Saccharomyces cerevisiae S288C: one gene and its partners. The gene in region 1 interacts genetically with each later gene. Each region holds a gene or a part of one and is shown on either strand. Other genes may lie near its edges. The genes, in order: SLT2, IRA2, BEM3 and ECM33.

Region 1 (3,958 bases):
CTTCCTTTTTAGGGCCCGCTAGGATAATTCCCACATGGTCATTCTGTTTTGTCTGGTGTGCAAGCATAGCAAAATTTGGGTTTGCATTGAAGCAAGTTTCTGCATCTTCTACTAGCGCCACGATCCACTCTGGCCCAGTATGTAAAAGAGCAGGAGGCTTTATGAATTTCAAACCAATCGCTTTTTCATAATCAGCAATCATCTCACTCGATATACTTTCGTAATCAGCCATCGGAGCTTTGAAGCTAATTAGTCCCTCATTAATTGTTATTGGAACAGCGCCTATTTTACATTCCTGGACGAGAGAAGTCGCAGTGGTGTTTTTGGTGAACTCAAGGAAAGCCTTACATGAACCAATGGTTGGGTGACCAGCAAATGGCAATTCACTTCTTGGAGTAAAGATCCTCAACTTGTAATCATACTTTTTATCAGATGGTTTAAATAAAAACGTTGTTTCTGATAAGTTTGTCCAGTTGGCAATTGCCTGCAATTCTTCTTGACTGACTTCATTTTCATCAATTTCCAAGAAGTTTATTACTGCTACTGGATTTCCCATAAAGGGCTTCTCAGTGAATACATCAACTTGTTTGAAAGGTACCATTAAAGTCATATTCTAAGCGCTTGGTTTTTTTTATCTTATCTTCCTTGTGTCATATTTAGACATTTAGTTTAGTATTCTAGGTGCTTAAATAATGAATATTGTCTATAGATGACTAATCATAAATGAACGAAAAGAAAGAATTCAAGAGGCGATAACAAACTTCCGCGGAGTACGATTAAGATAAGCGTCGGAGGAGGAATTTGATATACGAGCTACAACAAGAGCACGTATATATATATATATTTGTATACGTTCATATACATCATATATACACATTGTCTGTAAGCTTACATCTATGGTGATTCTATACTTCCCCGGTTACTTATAGTTTTTTGTCCTAAAAATATTTTCTATCTAATCCAAACTCCAGCTCTTTTTCAAGGTCTAGAAGCGTGCCGTTATCATTCTGAGGCGGAATATCTGCGGTATTTCCAGTGGCAGGTCTCATCTCCATCATACTCTCTTGAGGTCGAGGTGGGAAATCTGCATCATGCCTTGGCAAATTTTGGGAGTGAATACCAAATGATTCTTGTTGTGGCGCAACAGAATTAGACGTGGCCATCTGTTTTGGATAATTTTCTTCACTCGCTGCGGCGTTGCCATTATCCACATCTGAAGGCTGCTGTTGCTGTTGCTGTTGCTGTTGCTGCTGCTGTTGCTGCTGCTGTAATTGTAATTGCCTTTGCTCTTCTAATAGCGGTTGTCTCACAAACAGCCTGAAATCTTGCACTTCTTGTATAACCATTTGTTTTAAGTCCTCCATATCATTAACCGATTCAAAACTAAATTCGAATTTTTCACTACACACAGGTTCGTCAGCTGGATCATGCCATATAGACAAGTAAGGATGCTCCAGGGCCTCATCCACGGTAATTCTCTTTTGAGGGTCAAACGCGAGCATTTGCTCCAATAAGTCTAATGCTTGTGAATTGGCATTTGGGTATAAATTGACAAAAGGTACTTTTGGAATGAAACCTAATTGATGTATGTAGTCCTGAACATTTTTAGAACCAATCCTTCTTAAAGTTTCGTCTGGGGGTGTCCCTAAAACTTGTAATATTTGATTCAATTGATTAACGTAATCCTTTCCTTTGAAGATTGGCTTTCCACCAAGAAACTCCGCTAAAATACAGCCAGCTGACCATACGTCAATCGCCTTGGTATATCCTTGGTAACTCAACATTATTTCCGGAGCTCTATACCATCTAGTGGCCACGTACTCCGTCAAAAATTGACTGTTTTCGACAGGATTCTCCGAATAACCTCTAGCTAACCCAAAATCACAGATTTTCAATTGACAATCTGCATTGACAAGCAAATTGCCGGGCTTCAAATCACGATGCAAGACATCTGCAGAATGAATATACTTTAAACCACATAATATTTGGTATGTGAAACTTTGATAGTGAGCATCCGTCAAAGGTTGACCGGATTTGATGATTTGGTGCATATCACATTCCATAAGTTCCTCATAAAGATATAGTCCATTGATAGACCCGTCTGGATAAAAAACAATATCCATATCATAAAGACATGTAATATTTTTGTGGCCTCTGAAATGTCTCAAAAGCTTTAGCTCACGTAGGGATCTTTTACATAGTAAGGTCTTCGAAAAAACGTTTGTCACTTTCTTGATGGCAACTGTGGTATCTTCGGCAGCTTCTGCAAACCGCGCTGAACACACTATGCCGTATGCTCCATGCCCTATTTCTTTGATAAGTTGAAACCTCTTATCTACACTGAAATCTTGATTGAAGACCTTGAAAGTATGCCTCTCTATCTTATCAGCCATCTCCCAGAATTGTTATACACGCCCTTCAATTATTTCTACTATTTTGATAGCTTCAATAAGAAAATCTGTGGCCTAGATTTGCTGACTGAATGCACAGTTCGTCTAATATATATATATATCTGGCAGACCAGGGTCTTCAATTAAATCTAAATATTTGTGTAGGATCTGATTTCCCTCACTTTTTTTTTCGATATATTCCTGGCTAGATCTCCTTTTTCAGTTTCTATTTTTAACACTGAAACTTTCCATTCTGCCAACATTTCGCAGTCTTCTATAAAAAAAAAAAAAGATAATATAAAAATCGCCGCATACGTAGGCTTAGCTAAATAGATGGCTTCTAGATGAATATTTCGGGATTCTGTTAAATTATACAGATAGGCTCACAAGTATTCGAACCTGTATAGAACAAGAAAAGAAAACTTCAACTAGAGTATATGCATTTATTCGTTGCAAGTCATTTCAAAGTTTCTAAACGTTTATAGAAATCTTTTACTCTTTCATTGGTGCGAATCTTTCCTGGATCAAAGTTTAGGACCTGTAAGGTGTCCATAGTTACCGCTCTTGACAGTGCAACATAAACTTGGCCGGCTTCGAAAATTCTCCTCAAGTCGACCTTTAGTCTTTGAATAGTTTGACCCTGTGCCTTATGAATGGACAGTGCCCAGCATAGCATTAATGGAATCTGAGTTCTTTCTAACCCGACATTTTCTCTGGGAATATCAATGGGAAAGCGCTCTGGGACCATGAGCTCATGTATGTACTTGTTTTTACCCACTGTCCACCTCACATAGGGGAATTTTTCCTTATGCGGAGAGATCTTAACTGCATAGTTTATCAAGATTTTCAAACGTTCCAATCTAGCTAATGGCCTGGCATTCAAATCTTGACGAAACTCCTTTGATTCCTTTAACAAGGGATTACCAATGACCCGACTCACTAATCTCATGTCCATGACAACTTCGTCATCCACAATCTTGTAAATTTCCTTCATTTTCACCACCAGCGATTCTGTAACAAAAAACAAAACTTTTCCCAATGATCCATTAACTAATTCTACATCAGGCTTATTTTTCAACATCATTACCTGTGCATCTTCCTTCAATGCGACAACTTTTTCCACCATTAATGAAGAATCTAGTATCGCTTGGTATCTCTCGGGCGCGTTATCTACAGCTTTAAACTCATATAAATCACCAGGTAGAGACTGTAATTTCTTTACGTTGGATAGTTCAACTTCTCTTCTTGTGGCATACAGTTCTGTAGGAGCAATTCCATCGGCATAGTCTATATCCCTATTTAGGTTCCTTATTGTTTTAGCAATGTCGACAGTCAGCTCTCCGTATCTTATGGCATTTAGAATATCAATTAGTTTGTTATCCTGTTGTCTGAAAACCTTTGTCAGTAAAATCGTTTTTTGAATGCACCGTTTCCACATTTCACTTTCAAAACAAAATTTCACAACGTTATGCTCGTCCTTCTTAGCAACTGGTGGTAGTTGAAAAAAATCGCCTGTCAGGACCAATTGAATACCACCAAAGGGATCGTCGTTCTTCCGAATTCTCCTT
Region 2 (5,179 bases), on another chromosome or scaffold:
TAGGTCCGAACTAGTGAACTTTTTCACAGAGTTGAAAACAGTCAAACAACTTGAGGACGTTTTTCAACGTTACCATGACTATGAGAGGTTATCACAAGAATGTGACAGTAAGACGGAAATCGCCTCTGACCATTCGAAAAAGGAAACTAAAATAGAAGTGGAACCCCCAAATGAGCGCTCATTGCAAATCACAATGAACCAAAGGGACAATTCATTGTATTTCCAGTTGTTTAACAACACAAACTCTGTTTTGGCAGGCAACTGCAAACTGAAGTTTACTGACGCTGGCGATAAGCCAACCACGCAAATTATTGACATGGGTCCTCATGAAATAGGAATAAAGGAGTACAAGGAATACCGATACTTTCCATACGCACTTGATTTAGAGGCCGGCTCCACTATCGAGATTGAAAATCAGTATGGAGAAGTGATCTTCTTGGGCAAGTATGGCTCTTCTCCAATGATTAACTTAAGGCCACCTTCAAGATTATCTGCAGAAAGTTTACAGGCATCCCAAGAGCCATTTTACTCCTTTCAAATCGATACGTTACCAGAACTGGATGACTCTAGTATCATCAGTACATCCATTTCACTCTCTTATGACGGTGACGACAATGAAAAAGCCCTGACTTGGGAAGAACTCTAGGTCAAACTCTATTTTTATACAGCAATGAGTACCTTTTCACATACACATAAATATATTAAATATAATAAATACAATAAATATAAAATAACCCTTTTCGAAACTCTTTACTTCCTAAGGCCTCTCATTACTTATCACCTAGCATCATGCTCTTCATACATGCCATCTACTTTCAAACGATATACGGCTAACCAGAAAAGTACGGACAATCAGGGACGAGCAGGGACATGACGCCTTCCGCACAGATCCCAGAGAAAAGCAGGGAAACAAGAAAATAAGAAAACAAGAAAAACAGTAGTTACCCTTGTAAGTGTCATCCACAACAGAACCAATACTCTTACTCTTCCGCTCATTCCCCGCAGAATGATAGAACTATTCTAAATCCCCTTGCCTTGCTTGGCCTTGACTTGGGTTGGGACTTGGACCTCTAGAACCGATGTGCCTTCAAACATCTTAGCGAGATAAGAGTCTGCCATTAATGCATCGAGCCAATATCTTGGACTAGTACGAGGTTCACGTAGCCTTTCTTGCACGGCACCAGCGTCCCACCCCAAGTTCTTTGCTATACTGACCGCCTTACACATTTTAGTGTGATTCCAACCCAAAGTAGCTCCTCAAAAAGGGTCACCCGATCGGTGAATCAATCCGCGGCGCAGAAATGTTCGTAGAGCTCTCGTTTCTTCTAGAACGCTCCCTTGATGAAACGAAAATTTCCATCACAATAAAGCTCGCACGCCTTTTTGAAAACCCCAAGCTTTGCTGTGTCTTCTTGTGAAAAGTTTTGCCCAACGATTATCTATTCTACATATAACCGGGGAGTTAAGCACATCCTATTGCCCTACATTCTCTCCGCTTACTTCATTGTCTAGAGCTCCTGGGAAACAAAAGACCGAAAAAGCGAAAACAAAATCAGAACAAGGCTTAAGTACTTTTTCACCAATTGTAGCAAACATTTAACCACATTTTAGCACACTAGCATATAGCATTGTCCTCTGTTATTCGTTTTGCTTTTCTCCTTTAGTGTTACTTTTCCCCCAACGTTACACCATTTTTTGATATCAACTAAACTGTATACATTATCTTTCTTCAGGGAGAAGCATGTCCCAGCCCACTAAGAATAAGAAGAAAGAACACGGGACCGATTCCAAGTCATCCCGCATGACTCGGACGTTGGTTAATCATATTCTTTTTGAAAGAATTCTCCCGATCCTTCCGGTGGAGTCTAATCTAAGTACCTATTCGGAAGTGGAAGAGTATTCCTCATTCATTTCATGCAGATCTGTGCTCATTAACGTTACCGTTTCCCGAGATGCAAATGCTATGGTGGAAGGCACCTTGGAGTTGATAGAATCGCTTCTTCAAGGGCACGAAATCATTTCAGATAAGGGTAGCAGTGACGTTATTGAATCAATACTGATTATACTAAGATTGTTAAGTGATGCGCTAGAGTATAATTGGCAAAATCAAGAAAGCCTTCATTACAACGACATTTCGACTCACGTAGAACATGACCAAGAACAGAAGTACAGACCAAAGCTTAACAGTATTCTGCCCGACTACTCGTCGACTCATTCCAATGGCAACAAACACTTTTTCCACCAGAGCAAACCTCAGGCACTGATACCGGAACTGGCATCGAAATTGCTTGAGAGTTGCGCGAAGTTGAAGTTCAATACAAGAACTTTGCAAATTTTACAAAATATGATCAGTCATGTTCATGGAAACATTCTAACGACTTTGAGTTCCTCGATTCTTCCCCGCCACAAATCCTATCTGACAAGGCACAACCATCCTTCTCATTGTAAAATGATTGACTCTACTCTAGGCCATATTCTCCGATTTGTAGCGGCTTCCAATCCGTCCGAGTATTTTGAATTTATCAGAAAGAGTGTGCAAGTGCCCGTAACACAGACACACACGCATTCACACTCCCATTCACACTCTTTGCCATCTTCCGTTTATAACAGCATAGTGCCCCACTTTGATCTTTTCAGCTTCATCTATTTAAGCAAGCATAATTTTAAGAAATACTTGGAACTCATCAAAAACTTATCGGTGACGTTAAGGAAAACGATTTATCATTGCCTACTTTTGCATTACAGCGCCAAAGCAATAATGTTTTGGATAATGGCTAGGCCTGCGGAATATTATGAACTCTTCAACTTATTAAAAGATAATAACAATGAACACTCGAAATCCTTAAACACGTTAAACCATACACTTTTCGAGGAGATCCATTCGACTTTTAATGTGAATAGCATGATAACCACCAATCAAAATGCTCATCAAGGCTCATCTTCCCCTTCGTCCTCCTCGCCATCGTCACCACCTAGCTCATCATCATCGGATAACAACAATCAAAACATAATAGCAAAATCCTTAAGTCGTCAGCTTTCTCACCACCAGTCATACATTCAACAGCAGTCTGAAAGAAAACTACATTCTTCATGGACTACAAACTCTCAATCCTCTACTTCACTGTCATCTTCAACGTCTAATTCAACAACAACTGATTTCTCTACTCACACTCAACCAGGAGAATATGACCCTTCCTTACCAGATACTCCCACGATGTCTAACATCACTATTAGTGCATCTTCATTATTATCTCAAACTCCAACTCCAACAACACAATTGCAACAGCGGTTGAACTCAGCAGCTGCAGCCGCCGCCGCAGCTGCTTCACCATCGAATTCCACCCCAACTGGATACACAGCAGAGCAACAAAGTCGCGCTTCATACGATGCACACAAAACTGGCCATACTGGTAAGGATTATGACGAACATTTTTTGTCTGTCACTCGTTTGGATAATGTTTTGGAGTTATACACGCACTTTGATGATACTGAGGTACTACCACACACATCCGTACTGAAGTTTTTAACTACTTTGACAATGTTCGATATTGACCTTTTTAATGAATTAAACGCTACATCATTCAAATATATTCCTGATTGTACTATGCATCGTCCAAAAGAAAGAACAAGTTCTTTCAATAATACTGCACACGAGACAGGTTCCGAAAAGACTTCGGGTATAAAACATATTACACAAGGCTTAAAGAAATTAACTTCTTTACCTTCCTCAACCAAAAAAACTGTAAAATTTGTGAAGATGTTGCTAAGAAATTTAAATGGGAATCAAGCTGTATCAGATGTTGCCCTCTTAGATACAATGAGGGCCTTACTATCATTCTTTACAATGACTTCTGCGGTCTTTCTCGTGGATAGAAACTTACCCTCAGTACTTTTTGCCAAGAGACTCATCCCCATAATGGGGACAAATTTAAGCGTCGGTCAAGACTGGAATTCAAAAATAAATAACAGTTTGATGGTTTGTTTGAAAAAAAACTCCACCACGTTTGTTCAATTACAATTAATATTCTTCTCTTCAGCTATTCAATTCGATCATGAATTATTACTGGCACGTCTGAGCATCGATACAATGGCCAACAATTTAAACATGCAGAAGCTATGCCTTTATACTGAAGGATTCAGGATATTCTTCGACATACCAAGTAAGAAGGAATTGCGGAAGGCAATTGCGGTTAAAATTTCTAAATTTTTCAAAACATTATTCTCCATTATAGCAGATATTCTTTTACAAGAATTTCCGTATTTTGATGAGCAAATCACCGACATAGTTGCTTCCATTCTTGACGGTACAATTATCAATGAGTATGGTACGAAGAAACATTTCAAGGGGAGCTCACCCTCTTTATGTTCGACAACCCGGTCAAGATCAGGATCTACATCTCAAAGTTCAATGACACCAGTTTCTCCGCTGGGACTGGATACTGATATATGTCCAATGAACACCCTGTCTTTAGTTGGTTCAAGTACTTCAAGAAATTCTGACAACGTTAATTCATTAAACAGTTCACCAAAGAACTTGTCTTCTGATCCATACTTGTCACATCTTGTGGCCCCAAGAGCGCGTCATGCTTTAGGTGGGCCATCTAGTATTATAAGGAATAAAATACCGACTACATTGACTTCACCTCCAGGAACGGAAAAATCTTCACCAGTACAACGTCCGCAAACGGAAAGCATCAGTGCCACACCAATGGCCATAACAAATTCTACTCCATTATCGTCGGCAGCATTCGGAATTCGATCGCCTTTGCAGAAAATAAGAACGAGGCGTTATTCCGATGAAAGTTTAGGAAAATTCATGAAATCAACAAATAATTACATTCAAGAACATTTGATACCAAAAGATTTGAATGAAGCAACTCTTCAAGATGCTAGAAGAATAATGATTAATATTTTCAGTATTTTTAAGAGACCGAATAGTTACTTCATCATTCCTCACAATATAAACTCGAATTTACAATGGGTTTCGCAGGATTTTAGAAATATTATGAAACCGATTTTCGTCGCCATCGTAAGTCCGGATGTAGATTTACAGAATACTGCTCAATCATTCATGGATACCTTATTATCGAATGTTATTACTTATGGTGAATCAGATGAGAATATCAGTATTGAAGGGTATCATCTTCTTTGCAGTTACACTGTAACATTATTTGCAATG
Region 3 (6,231 bases), on another chromosome or scaffold:
CATATAGATATGTACATATATATGTGGCGAATAATGTTTTACCTCTGCATTTGTATTGTTATTTGATTCGTTGAATAAGATAGTTTGGCGCTCGGTTTTTGCTCTTTTTCTTCCGTTTTTATGTCATTGGGGTGGCGGTAGTCATTCCGTTTTACGGTATGTTTATTCTGACACTTTGACGCAGATCTAAAAGGTGGAGTGTGGAGTACAAATAGCTCTCTCTCAAATACAGAAAAATACTTGAGTGTACAAAAGTAGCAACCTTTAAATAACAATGATTACTTCAATTGACATAGCAGATGTAACTTATTCTGCCAAACCAAGAATTTTGGTGCCTTATAAAACCCAATGGGAAGTCGCCAGTCATCTTCCTGAATATCGCAAACTGGCAGAAAGGGTAGAATTCTATAAATATGAGATGTCCACAAAGGATGATTTTGTTAAATTTTTGGAAACTCATAGAATAAACGGCTTTTGGCTCACTGAGGAGTTTTTCACTGTGTTAGGAAACCCTTCGAGTTATATTGAATTCTTCCCCGCATCTTTAAAAGTAATCCTTGTACCATGGGTCGGCTGTGACTTTATTGACGGTAAGTTATTAAGATCGAAAGGTATCACTTTATGCAACATTGGACCACATGCTGCTGACCATGTCACAGAATTGGCTATTTTCCTAGCAATTAGCTGCTTTAGAATGACTTCATTTTGGGAATATTGTTTTAAATACGTGGAAAATGGTAATGTTGAACAGTGTAAGAAATATATCTCTAGTGACTCGTATGAAATTGTTACAGATAGTTACCACGGTCAGGAAATGAAATTTCCCTCTCGAACAGACAAATGCAAGCCTAACAAGGATAGGAAAGTGGTACATTTAGCAGAAAAGTACACGGTTGGCGGGAAAAAAATGGAATCTCCAATGAATAAAAAAGTTCTAATATTGGGGTTTGGCTCCATCGGACAAAATATAGGGTCTAACTTGCACAAAGTGTTCAACATGAGCATTGAATACTACAAAAGGACCGGTCCCGTCCAAAAGAGTCTACTTGATTACAACGCTAAGTACCATTCTGATCTAGATGATCCAAATACTTGGAAGAATGCGGATTTGATCATTTTGGCCTTGCCCAGTACGGCCTCTACAAACAATATTATCAATCGTAAAAGTTTGGCCTGGTGTAAAGATGGTGTCAGGATAGTTAACGTTGGGAGAGGCACATGCATAGATGAAGATGTGCTACTAGACGCTCTTGAATCTGGAAAAGTGGCAAGCTGTGGTCTCGATGTGTTTAAAAATGAGGAAACACGCGTTAAGCAAGAGTTACTTCGCAGATGGGATGTTACAGCTTTGCCACATATCGGCAGCACAGTTGCCGACATGGTCATAAAGCAGACACTCATCACACTCGAGAATGTGCAGGACATATTTGTCGAGGGAGGTGATGGTAAGTATGTGCTCAACTGAACCATTCATTATGTTACAAAGATAGCATTTCAATTAGGATTACATACGTATATGCATTGCTCTTTATACCACAACTCTAAGAATGTCGAAAGTTATATGGCGGCGGTGATGTTGGAAAAAAAACGCGGCCGTTTTATAAAGAACAATAATCGTCTGACTAGGTAAAGTACCAGATAAGAACCGTTTTTATTGCGCGTATTGGTATGTTTTTTAAACGGAATTTTTCAAGATTGTTAAATACATCAACGATATATCCATTTTAATCACCGTTTACCTTTGTGTGTTAGCTTTGTATCTGGAAGTTTTTTCTCTTTTCTTCTTTGTCCTTGCCTTCTACCATTTTGCCTTTTGTTCGAGTTCGTGATTACATCAGGCATATACAACATCACGTTTGTTGAAACACTGGCTGCTAGGAGTATCTGTGTGTATATTCTAGAATAAACTCACACTCAACTAACAGCACGCAATGACAGATAATTTGACCACAACTCATGGTGGTAGTACCACCCTTGAATTGTTGGCGCAGTACAATGATCATAGATCCAAAAAGGACAAATCTATAGAACATATAGAAAAAGGAACATGTTCAGGAAAAGAAAGAAATCCGTCCTATGATGAAATTTTTACGGAAAACATTAAGCTAAAGCTACAAGTCCAAGAATATGAAACTGAAATTGAGAGTTTGGAAAAGGTTATTGATATGTTACAAAAAAACAGAGAAGCTTCCTTAGAAGTTGTGCTTGAGCAAGTTCAAAATGACTCAAGAGATTCATACGTTAACGATCAATCATTTGTGTTACCCCCAAGATCTGCTGAAAGGAAAGCGCATATCAAGAGTCTTAATTTGCCAATACCGACATTGTCCCCTCCATTGCAACAAGGTTCAGACGTTGCACTTGAAACAAGTGTAACGCCTACAGTACCTCAAATAGGTGTTACATCAAATACTTCAATAAGTAGGAAGCATTTACAGAACATGATACTAAACGATGAAATAGAAGCAAATAGTAGCTTCTCATCTCCCAAAATTATCAATAGATCTGTCTCAAGCCCTACAAAAATACATTCAGAACAGTTGGCTAGCCCAGCTGCCTCTGTTACCTATACGACGTCTAGGATAACCATAAAATCACCTAATAAAGGTTCGAAATCTCCATTGCAAGAACGTTTGCGTTCCCCTCAAAATCCTAACAGAATGACGGCTGTTATCAACAACCATTTGCATTCTCCATTAAAGGCCAGTACCTCTAATAATTTAGATGAGCTGACTGAAAGTAAAAGTCAACAACTAACTAATGACGCGATACAAAAAAATGACCGCGTTTATTCTTCTATAACATCCTCTGCATACACTACTGGAACTCCTACTTCAGCAGCCAAAAGTCCATCATCCCTTTTGGAAGTCAAGGAGGGTGAAAACAAGGCTTTGGGTTTCTCTCCAGCATCTAAAGAAAAACTTGACGACTTCACCCAATTACTTGACTCCTCATTTGGCGAAGAGGATCTAGTCAATACGGACAGTAAAGATCCTCTGTCCATAAAATCCACGATTAACGAATCTTTACCCCCACCTCCAGCGCCTCCAACTTTTTTCTCACCTACTTCTAGTGGAAATATAAAAAACTCTACTCCTTTATCAAGCCATTTGGCTTCTCCGGTTATCTTGAATAAAAAGGATGATAATTTTGGTGCTCAAAGTGCAAAAAATTTAAAGAAACCTGTGTTAACTTCATCACTCCCCAATCTTTCTACAAAATTGTCAACAACAAGTCAAAATGCTTCTCTTCCTCCAAATCCTCCCGTGGAAAGTTCATCAAAACAAAAACAACTTGGAGAAACGGCATCCATCCATTCAACCAATACCTTGAATACATTTAGCTCAACACCCCAAGGTTCGTTGAAGACACTTAGAAGACCTCATGCAAGTAGCGTGAGCACCGTGAAGTCTGTGGCCCAAAGTCTTAAGTCGGATATTCCATTATTCGTTCAACCGGAGGATTTTGGCACTATCCAGATTGAAGTACTGAGCACATTGTACAGGGATAATGAAGATGATTTATCCATTTTAATTGCAATCATAGACAGGAAATCCGGTAAGGAGATGTTTAAATTTTCAAAATCTATTCATAAAGTTCGCGAATTAGATGTATATATGAAATCACATGTTCCCGATTTACCATTGCCCACGTTACCTGATAGACAATTATTTCAGACTTTATCACCTACAAAAGTGGATACGCGAAAGAACATATTGAATCAGTATTATACAAGCATATTCAGTGTCCCTGAATTTCCCAAAAATGTTGGTTTAAAAATCGCCCAATTTATTAGTACAGATACAGTAATGACACCTCCAATGATGGATGATAATGTGAAAGACGGATCACTTTTGCTGAGAAGACCAAAGACTCTAACAGGTAATAGTACATGGAGAGTTCGGTACGGTATTTTGCGCGATGATGTTTTACAATTGTTTGACAAAAATCAGTTGACTGAAACTATTAAATTGAGACAATCTTCTATAGAACTTATACCCAATCTCCCTGAAGATAGATTTGGAACGAGAAATGGGTTTTTGATCACTGAGCATAAGAAAAGCGGACTGTCAACCTCAACAAAGTATTATATTTGTACTGAAACGTCGAAGGAACGTGAATTATGGCTTTCTGCGTTTAGTGATTACATTGATCCTTCACAAAGTTTATCGTTATCTAGCTCGAGGAATGCAAACGATACTGATTCTGCATCTCACTTGAGCGCAGGAACACACCATTCTAAATTTGGAAACGCAACTATCTCAGCAACCGATACTCCATCATATGTCACTGATTTGACCCAAGAATATAATAATAATAACAATATTAGTAATAGTAGCAATAACATTGCTAATAGCGATGGTATTGACTCAAACCCATCTTCTCACTCTAACTTCCTAGCAAGTTCAAGCGGGAATGCAGAGGAGGAGAAGGATAGTAGGAGAGCCAAAATGAGAAGTTTATTCCCTTTTAAAAAATTAACCGGCCCGGCGAGTGCAATGAACCATATAGGTATTACAATTTCAAATGATTCGGATTCTCCAACATCTCCTGACTCTATCATTAAGTCACCAAGCAAAAAATTAATGGAAGTATCCTCTTCGTCAAATTCTTCTACGGGTCCACATGTGTCCACTGCAATATTTGGCTCGTCACTAGAAACGTGTTTAAGATTGAGTTCGCATAAGTACCAAAACGTTTACGATTTACCGAGTGTAGTTTATCGTTGCTTAGAGTATCTTTACAAAAACCGTGGTATCCAGGAAGAAGGCATATTTAGACTAAGCGGGTCCAGTACAGTTATCAAAACTTTACAAGAAAGGTTTGATAAAGAGTACGATGTAGATTTATGTCGGTACAATGAAAGTATTGAAGCTAAAGATGATGAGGCATCTCCAAGTCTTTACATTGGTGTGAATACTGTAAGTGGGTTACTAAAGTTGTACTTGAGAAAGTTGCCCCATTTATTATTTGGTGACGAACAATTTTTGTCGTTTAAAAGAGTAGTTGATGAAAATCATAATAATCCTGTTCAAATATCATTGGGGTTTAAGGAACTTATTGAATCTGGCCTAGTTCCTCACGCTAACCTATCGTTGATGTATGCTCTTTTTGAACTGCTGGTAAGGATCAATGAGAATAGTAAGTTTAATAAGATGAATCTAAGAAATTTATGCATCGTGTTTTCCCCAACTCTAAATATTCCAATTAGTATGCTTCAACCATTCATCACTGACTTTGCGTGTATATTTCAGGGTGGTGAACCAGTTAAAGAAGAGGAAAGGGAGAAAGTAGATATACATATTCCTCAGGTTTGATGGTCTAAAATTGTAGAAATATAACGTTGCCAGTAAACCTCCATTGATTTAATGATAGAAAGAGGGCGAGATGTATAGAGGCTTCTTTCTTTCAACGATATATTTGTAATAATAAAAAAATGTCAGGCTGATAAAGCTTATAGAGTGACTGTCTTTTTATTCCTCAAATGTTATTTACAATACCATATAATAAAATTAGTATATTGTCAAATAAAATAAGAGAAAAAAACTAACTTCTTGACCAAATGGTCGAAGAGCTGAGATAAAGAAGGAAAAAAATTAAAATTACTAACTATACAAGGAAATATAAAAATAGAAAAATTGTGTTACTAAATACAAAAAAGTAATATATGCGTCACTTCTTTAGTGGGTTCAAGACAACATTATATATGCATTGGTATCACCATCTTCCACCACTTCTTGTTGTATGTTTTCTTGAAACATGAGAAATCATTGATATATCACTATCGTCATAAGTTGGTGTATTTGCGTTTTGAGGCTGTCTTATGCGATGCGGTTTCGTATTGGAGGGAATTTTATACATTCCATTACCTTGTAGACGGCGTTGGTGCGAGTTTTTCCAATTTTTTTCTTTTAGCTCATGGTCTGAATCTTCATCACCTTTTTTTTCAATTTCTAAGGTCTCCAAATGTCTAGAAATATCATCAATGGTAATATCCTCCACCGTGCGATTGAAAGTTTTGTTCAATTCTTCATCGTAAACGTATTCTTCATCTTCATCCTCACTGGAAAATTCTTGTTGCAAAAACGGAATTTGGGTTTCAGCTGCTCTATTATTTGACGAGAGCTGCTTGACCTTGGTATCGCTTCTAATTTCCCTTTGTTCCTGTTTTTCCGTGCTTCTCGGCTTGTTTTCATGAAGTTCTTTTTCTGGGGAAGCGTTGCTTCTATG
Region 4 (4,515 bases), on another chromosome or scaffold:
ATGTCAAAGGAAGGAGCAGAAGAGCAGTAAAGATGGCAGTTATTTTAAAAACGAATTTCGAGAAATAGTTGGTATAAATAACTATAAATAACGTTTTACTGTTTTAAAAAAGCGATCCGTTAAAAGGCCCTAACGATTCTTTAGAAACTTGAAACGTTAGCGGAAGAGCACTTTGTTTTAAACCGTAGTAAGAATTTTTTTATATTTTATTTCATTTACTTATTTTTTTTTTTTCTTTACTCCTTTTTTTTATGTTACTTAGACAAATTTCATTATATTAGGTAAAGCTAAAGGATGGTAAAAAGTCTGAGTGGTTCTTTTAATTAAGGTAGCAAAAGTTGATGAAACTGGAACTTCAAAACAGTAATAATATAGTAACAATAAGAAATAAAAGAGATATTAACGACACTAAAATTTTATCTACATATAAAATTCAGTGATGAACCAACCGTCTCATAATAAAAAAGGAATGGTAAAGAAATCATTAGAGAAGAAATTAAAGTAATAATAGAAACACAAATTGTTGCTTTAATCTTATAGTAAGGCAACGCCAACAGCAGCAACGACACCCATGAATGAAGTGGCTGGAACAAGTTCTGGAGCAGCACCCTTAGACTTCTTAGAAGAAGAGGAAGAAGAGCTAGCGGAAGCTGAAACGTTAGCTTGAGCATTGGAGGCATCACCACTAGAAGAAGCGGAAGATGTAGCAGAGCTCTTGGATGATTCAGTAGAAGTAGAGGATAGCTTAACGGAGGTAGATGTGGCACCGTTCTTGCAAACAAAAGAGTCACCTTGAATAGCACCGTTACTTTGCAACTTCTTCAAAGCGTTACAGGAGAAGTTACTGGAAGAAGAGTCGAAGTTAGCACCACCTCTAACAGACTTCAAAGAAGATAAGTCCAAGGTTGAGAAGTTACCAGTAACTTCAATGGCACCACCAACAGTTTGAACCTTGTTAAAACCGTCAATGACCTTCAATTGTGTGTTGTTAGCAATGATGAAACCACCACCAACAGTAGTCAAGTTACTGAAAGCGGCCTTGGATAATTCATCGTTGGAGACGATAGACAAAGATTGACCAACCTTGCTCAATTGGGTCAAGTTCAAACTTGGCAAAGTGTTGTTAATGAAACCTAAGGAAGCGTTAACAGTTTGCAAACTACCGAAAGAAATAGAGTTAACATCTCTCAAAGTGATGTTGTTAGCCCAGACCAAATTGTCGAAGGCCAAAGTAGTGTTGTCACCGTTGGAAGAGAATTGTAAAGAGTCAGAGACACTTTCCAAGGAAGATTGGAAAGAGTTTAGATATCTGTTGTTGTTGATGTTAAAAACATTAACCTTCTTCAAAGTGGAGAAACCTTCGACACTTTCCAAAGTGGTGTCAGAAACAATAATGTTGTTAGCATTTTGTAAATCGGTGGAGAAGGTAGAAATGGCAGGCAAAGTCACCATGTTAATGGAGTCTACTTCTTGCAAAGAACCGAAAGAAGCACTGGTCAAAATGATCAATTCTTGCATGTTCAAATCACCGGTGATTTTCTTGATAGAGTCAGCGGAGAAAGAAGATAAAGAACTGGAGTTGAAGATAGTCAAGGAACCATCAATCTCTTGGATACTAGCCAAAGCAGCGGAACCCAAGTCACCGGTGATGGTCAAGTTACCAACAATGGTACTACAACCGGAGATTTTGTCCAAATCAGCTTGAGCAGTAGCAGTGGCAGAAGTACCAATACTACATGAAGATGGAATAGAAGTAGTTGAGTTAGCTGCTTAGATAAAGAAAAGTAGTGTTAGTATTCCCGATCGATTTATACATGTATTATTCTGTTTCATTACTCGCCCTAATCCTATGACAGGCAGAAATATTGAAGAATATTCCAAAACCATCCTCACGAGATCTCGAAACCCGTTTCCTCTTTTGGAAATTTTTTTTTTTCGCATTGTCCGTCCGCGTCAATCGAGACCTATGAAAAAAAGCCCAGTAATCGACAAAGAAAAAAGAAAAGAATGAAGAGGACCACGAATCTACTCGAGATTTGTGAGGAAAGAGGCAAATAAAGAAAAAAAGATGAAAAAAAAGGAGAATGTGTACATACCAGCTAGAGCGGAGGCACTTAGAATAGCAGTAGCAGTCAAAGCGTTCTTGAATTGCATTGCGGAATAATAGTAAAATTAAAACTAGATCTTTAAAAGTCAAATAAACGTATTCTTGATAGCTCAAAGGGACTTGTTGAAAGAAAAATGGAAAAGATTAAACTGTGTAGAAGCGAATGAACGATTAACTCTTTTATTTAATTTCTTTTCTAAAAGTGGCCGAAGTACTCAAAGATGATGTTCTAAAAAGAAGAGAAAGGGTGAAAAGCCAAGAAAGATAAAGAAGGAAAGAAAATGCAGAGGAAAGATCTTCACATATTAAATACAAAAATGCAAGAGAGGTCCGTTGATTGCGAAAAGTCGTAGGTGTTTGACATTGAATATTTATACCGGCTCAAGCACGCTACCGAAAATTTTTCAGTTCGATCTGAGGTTTGTACTTTTGATTTCGATCCCAGGAGGGATGGTTGTTTACTGCACGTTGCCTTTGTTTGTTGTGGTAACGCGGTTTCAGTCCTGTCTCTAGTGCCTGGCCACTGAGAATGAGCGCGTGGGCCAGAAACGGTGGCGCGTCTTTCCCGTTTTTGCACTCCATTTCATTTCTTTTTCGCGAGGGCGCAGCAGCCACCCGGGTCGTGAAGGATGATACTGCCCGCCATCCTTTTTTTTTTGCGGTTTACGGTAATTCGCAGATTTTACGTTGATAATGATATGAATGGTGCCCTCTGGGTAACAGGTGAATATGGAGAGAGAGACGAAGAAAAAGAAAAACAATTGCTTCATTTGGCATATAAGCTAAAAAGACTCTAATGAATTAATTAAGGGAAGATAAGAAGAAAAAAAAAAGGCAGTTATCAGCAGCAAACGGTATCCAAAATATTGAAGCAATATGGTGATGCTCCATTCTAAAAACGTTAAAGGGTTTCTGGAAAACACTTTGAAACCGTATGATTTGCATTCGGTAGACTTCAAGACATCGTCTTTGCAATCGTCTATGATTATAACCGCCACTAATGGGGGTATACTGTCCTATGCGACGTCAAACAACGATGTACCGAAAAATTCCATAAACGAAATAAACTCGGTCAATAACTTGAAAATGATGAGCTTATTGATTAAGGATAAGTGGTCAGAGGATGAAAACGATACTGAGGAACAGCACTCCAATAGCTGTTACCCTGTGGAAATCGACTCCTTTAAGACAAAAATATATACTTACGAAATGGAAGATTTACATACCTGTGTCGCACAGATACCCAATAGCGACCTTTTGCTATTGTTCATTGCGGAAGGTAGCTTCCCTTACGGACTACTGGTAATTAAAATTGAAAGAGCTATGAGAGAGTTGACTGATTTGTTTGGCTACAAGCTAGGTTGATGGGTTTAACAATATGTATCGAGGCCACACCTTTTCATGCGTCTCCGGATGGGGGCTGGAAAAAACAATGCGAACAGTCTATAAATAAACACATTTTCGCAGGGACAGAGTTTACGCAGACACGCCATTTACATAAGCTTGATTACGCGGATTGCCGTGGTGCACTTTCGTGCACTCGCACATATATATGCACGTACATAAGGGCCTCATCTTCCTCTCCTTTTTTTCCCCCATCTACCTATCGCTGTTATTGAACGGAAGCATCTTCTTTTTTTATTATGCTCAGAGGGCCCTACATGACAGCTTTTTTTTCCCCAATGAGCTGCTACGGTGCCAGATCTGCTTATGTTCATTATTTTGGATGGTAACCGTTATAAATTTAAAGCGTTTCTTCGCTAGGATGGTGAATATTAGTATTTATCAGCCGTCTCGTAATCGTTTAGTTCGTTACTAGCGGCAAATTTTGTTTGATTTGTTATATGATCATTTATTTTTAATATCTTGCGTACACAATCAATTGCTTTTTGTTATAACTTGGACATATAAACATTTCGTTCGGAACGTGGCTAAGTCGCATTGGATGTAGTGTGTAAAATAATTCTCGTATATACCTTCAATGTCTTCTCTATTGCGTGTTTGAATATACGACATCCCATTATAATCAGCATTGAGGTTTCTTAGAGACTCGAAATCCTGAAAGGAATCCCTAATGATTTCATCGTATTCACACCAACCCAAACGGATCCAATTTTCGCAGTGGGGGCATTTCACATGGATTCTCCTAAATCCCCCGTTCAACGTTTGAGTGTAGTAGGCCAAAGGAGAGGGAATGATGGATACAGTAAGAGAGTTCAAAATTTTTTTGCTAAACTCTGGCTCTTTTAATACTTGAATTTTGAAATTAAGTTTTCCCTGGATTTTTAACAGCTTAGACTCGAAATGGTATAAAGTGTGAGGCTTAAATTCAGACAAAATGCCGTGCGCAAAGAATAAATGTTTTAGGTAGTTTTCAGCTAGAATCCAATTATTCCCCTGGCAAAATC

The links.
Region 2: mutations in SLT2 (region 1) and IRA2 together harm fitness more than expected from each alone (negative genetic interaction), as found in Saccharomyces cerevisiae (6 studies listed by BioGRID, with this or other methods).
Region 3: mutations in SLT2 (region 1) and BEM3 together harm fitness more than expected from each alone (negative genetic interaction), as found in Saccharomyces cerevisiae (5 studies listed by BioGRID).
Region 4: mutations in SLT2 (region 1) and ECM33 together harm fitness more than expected from each alone (negative genetic interaction), as found in Saccharomyces cerevisiae (5 studies listed by BioGRID, with this or other methods).

What each region holds. Positions count from the first base shown.
Region 1 is NC_001140.6:167,952-171,909, forward strand, and holds SLT2 (mitogen-activated serine/threonine-protein kinase SLT2), read right to left. Parts: upstream 2,394-3,958; coding exon 939-2,393; downstream 1-938. Other genes in the region: YHI9 (Yhi9p), read right to left, coding at 1-610; RRM3 (DNA helicase), read right to left, coding at 2,848-3,958. UniProt on the Saccharomyces cerevisiae protein: Serine/threonine protein kinase involved in a signal transduction pathway that plays a role in yeast cell morphogenesis and cell growth.
Region 2 is NC_001147.6:169,329-174,507, forward strand, and holds the start of IRA2 (Ras GTPase activating protein IRA2), read left to right. Parts: upstream 1-1,741; coding exon 1,742-5,179. Other genes in the region: ATG19 (Atg19p), read left to right, coding at 1-646. UniProt on the Saccharomyces cerevisiae protein: Inhibitory regulator of the Ras-cyclic AMP pathway. Stimulates the GTPase activity of Ras proteins.
Region 3 is NC_001148.4:331,187-337,417, reverse strand, and holds BEM3 (GTPase-activating protein BEM3), read left to right. Parts: upstream 1-1,931; coding exon 1,932-5,318; downstream 5,319-6,231. Other genes in the region: YPL113C (glyoxylate reductase), read left to right, coding at 275-1,465; HOS3 (histone deacetylase), read right to left, coding at 5,719-6,231. UniProt on the Saccharomyces cerevisiae protein: GTPase-activating protein (GAP) for CDC42 and less efficiently for RHO1. Negative regulator of the pheromone-response pathway through the STE20 protein kinase.
Region 4 is NC_001134.8:390,762-395,276, reverse strand, and holds ECM33 (Ecm33p), read right to left. Parts: upstream 2,155-4,515; coding exon 2,097-2,154; intron 1,767-2,096; coding exon 535-1,766; downstream 1-534. Other genes in the region: SLM4 (Slm4p), read left to right, coding at 2,984-3,472; ECM8 (Ecm8p), read right to left, coding at 3,986-4,515. UniProt on the Saccharomyces cerevisiae protein: Required for proper cell wall integrity and for the correct assembly of the mannoprotein outer layer of the cell wall. Important for apical bud growth.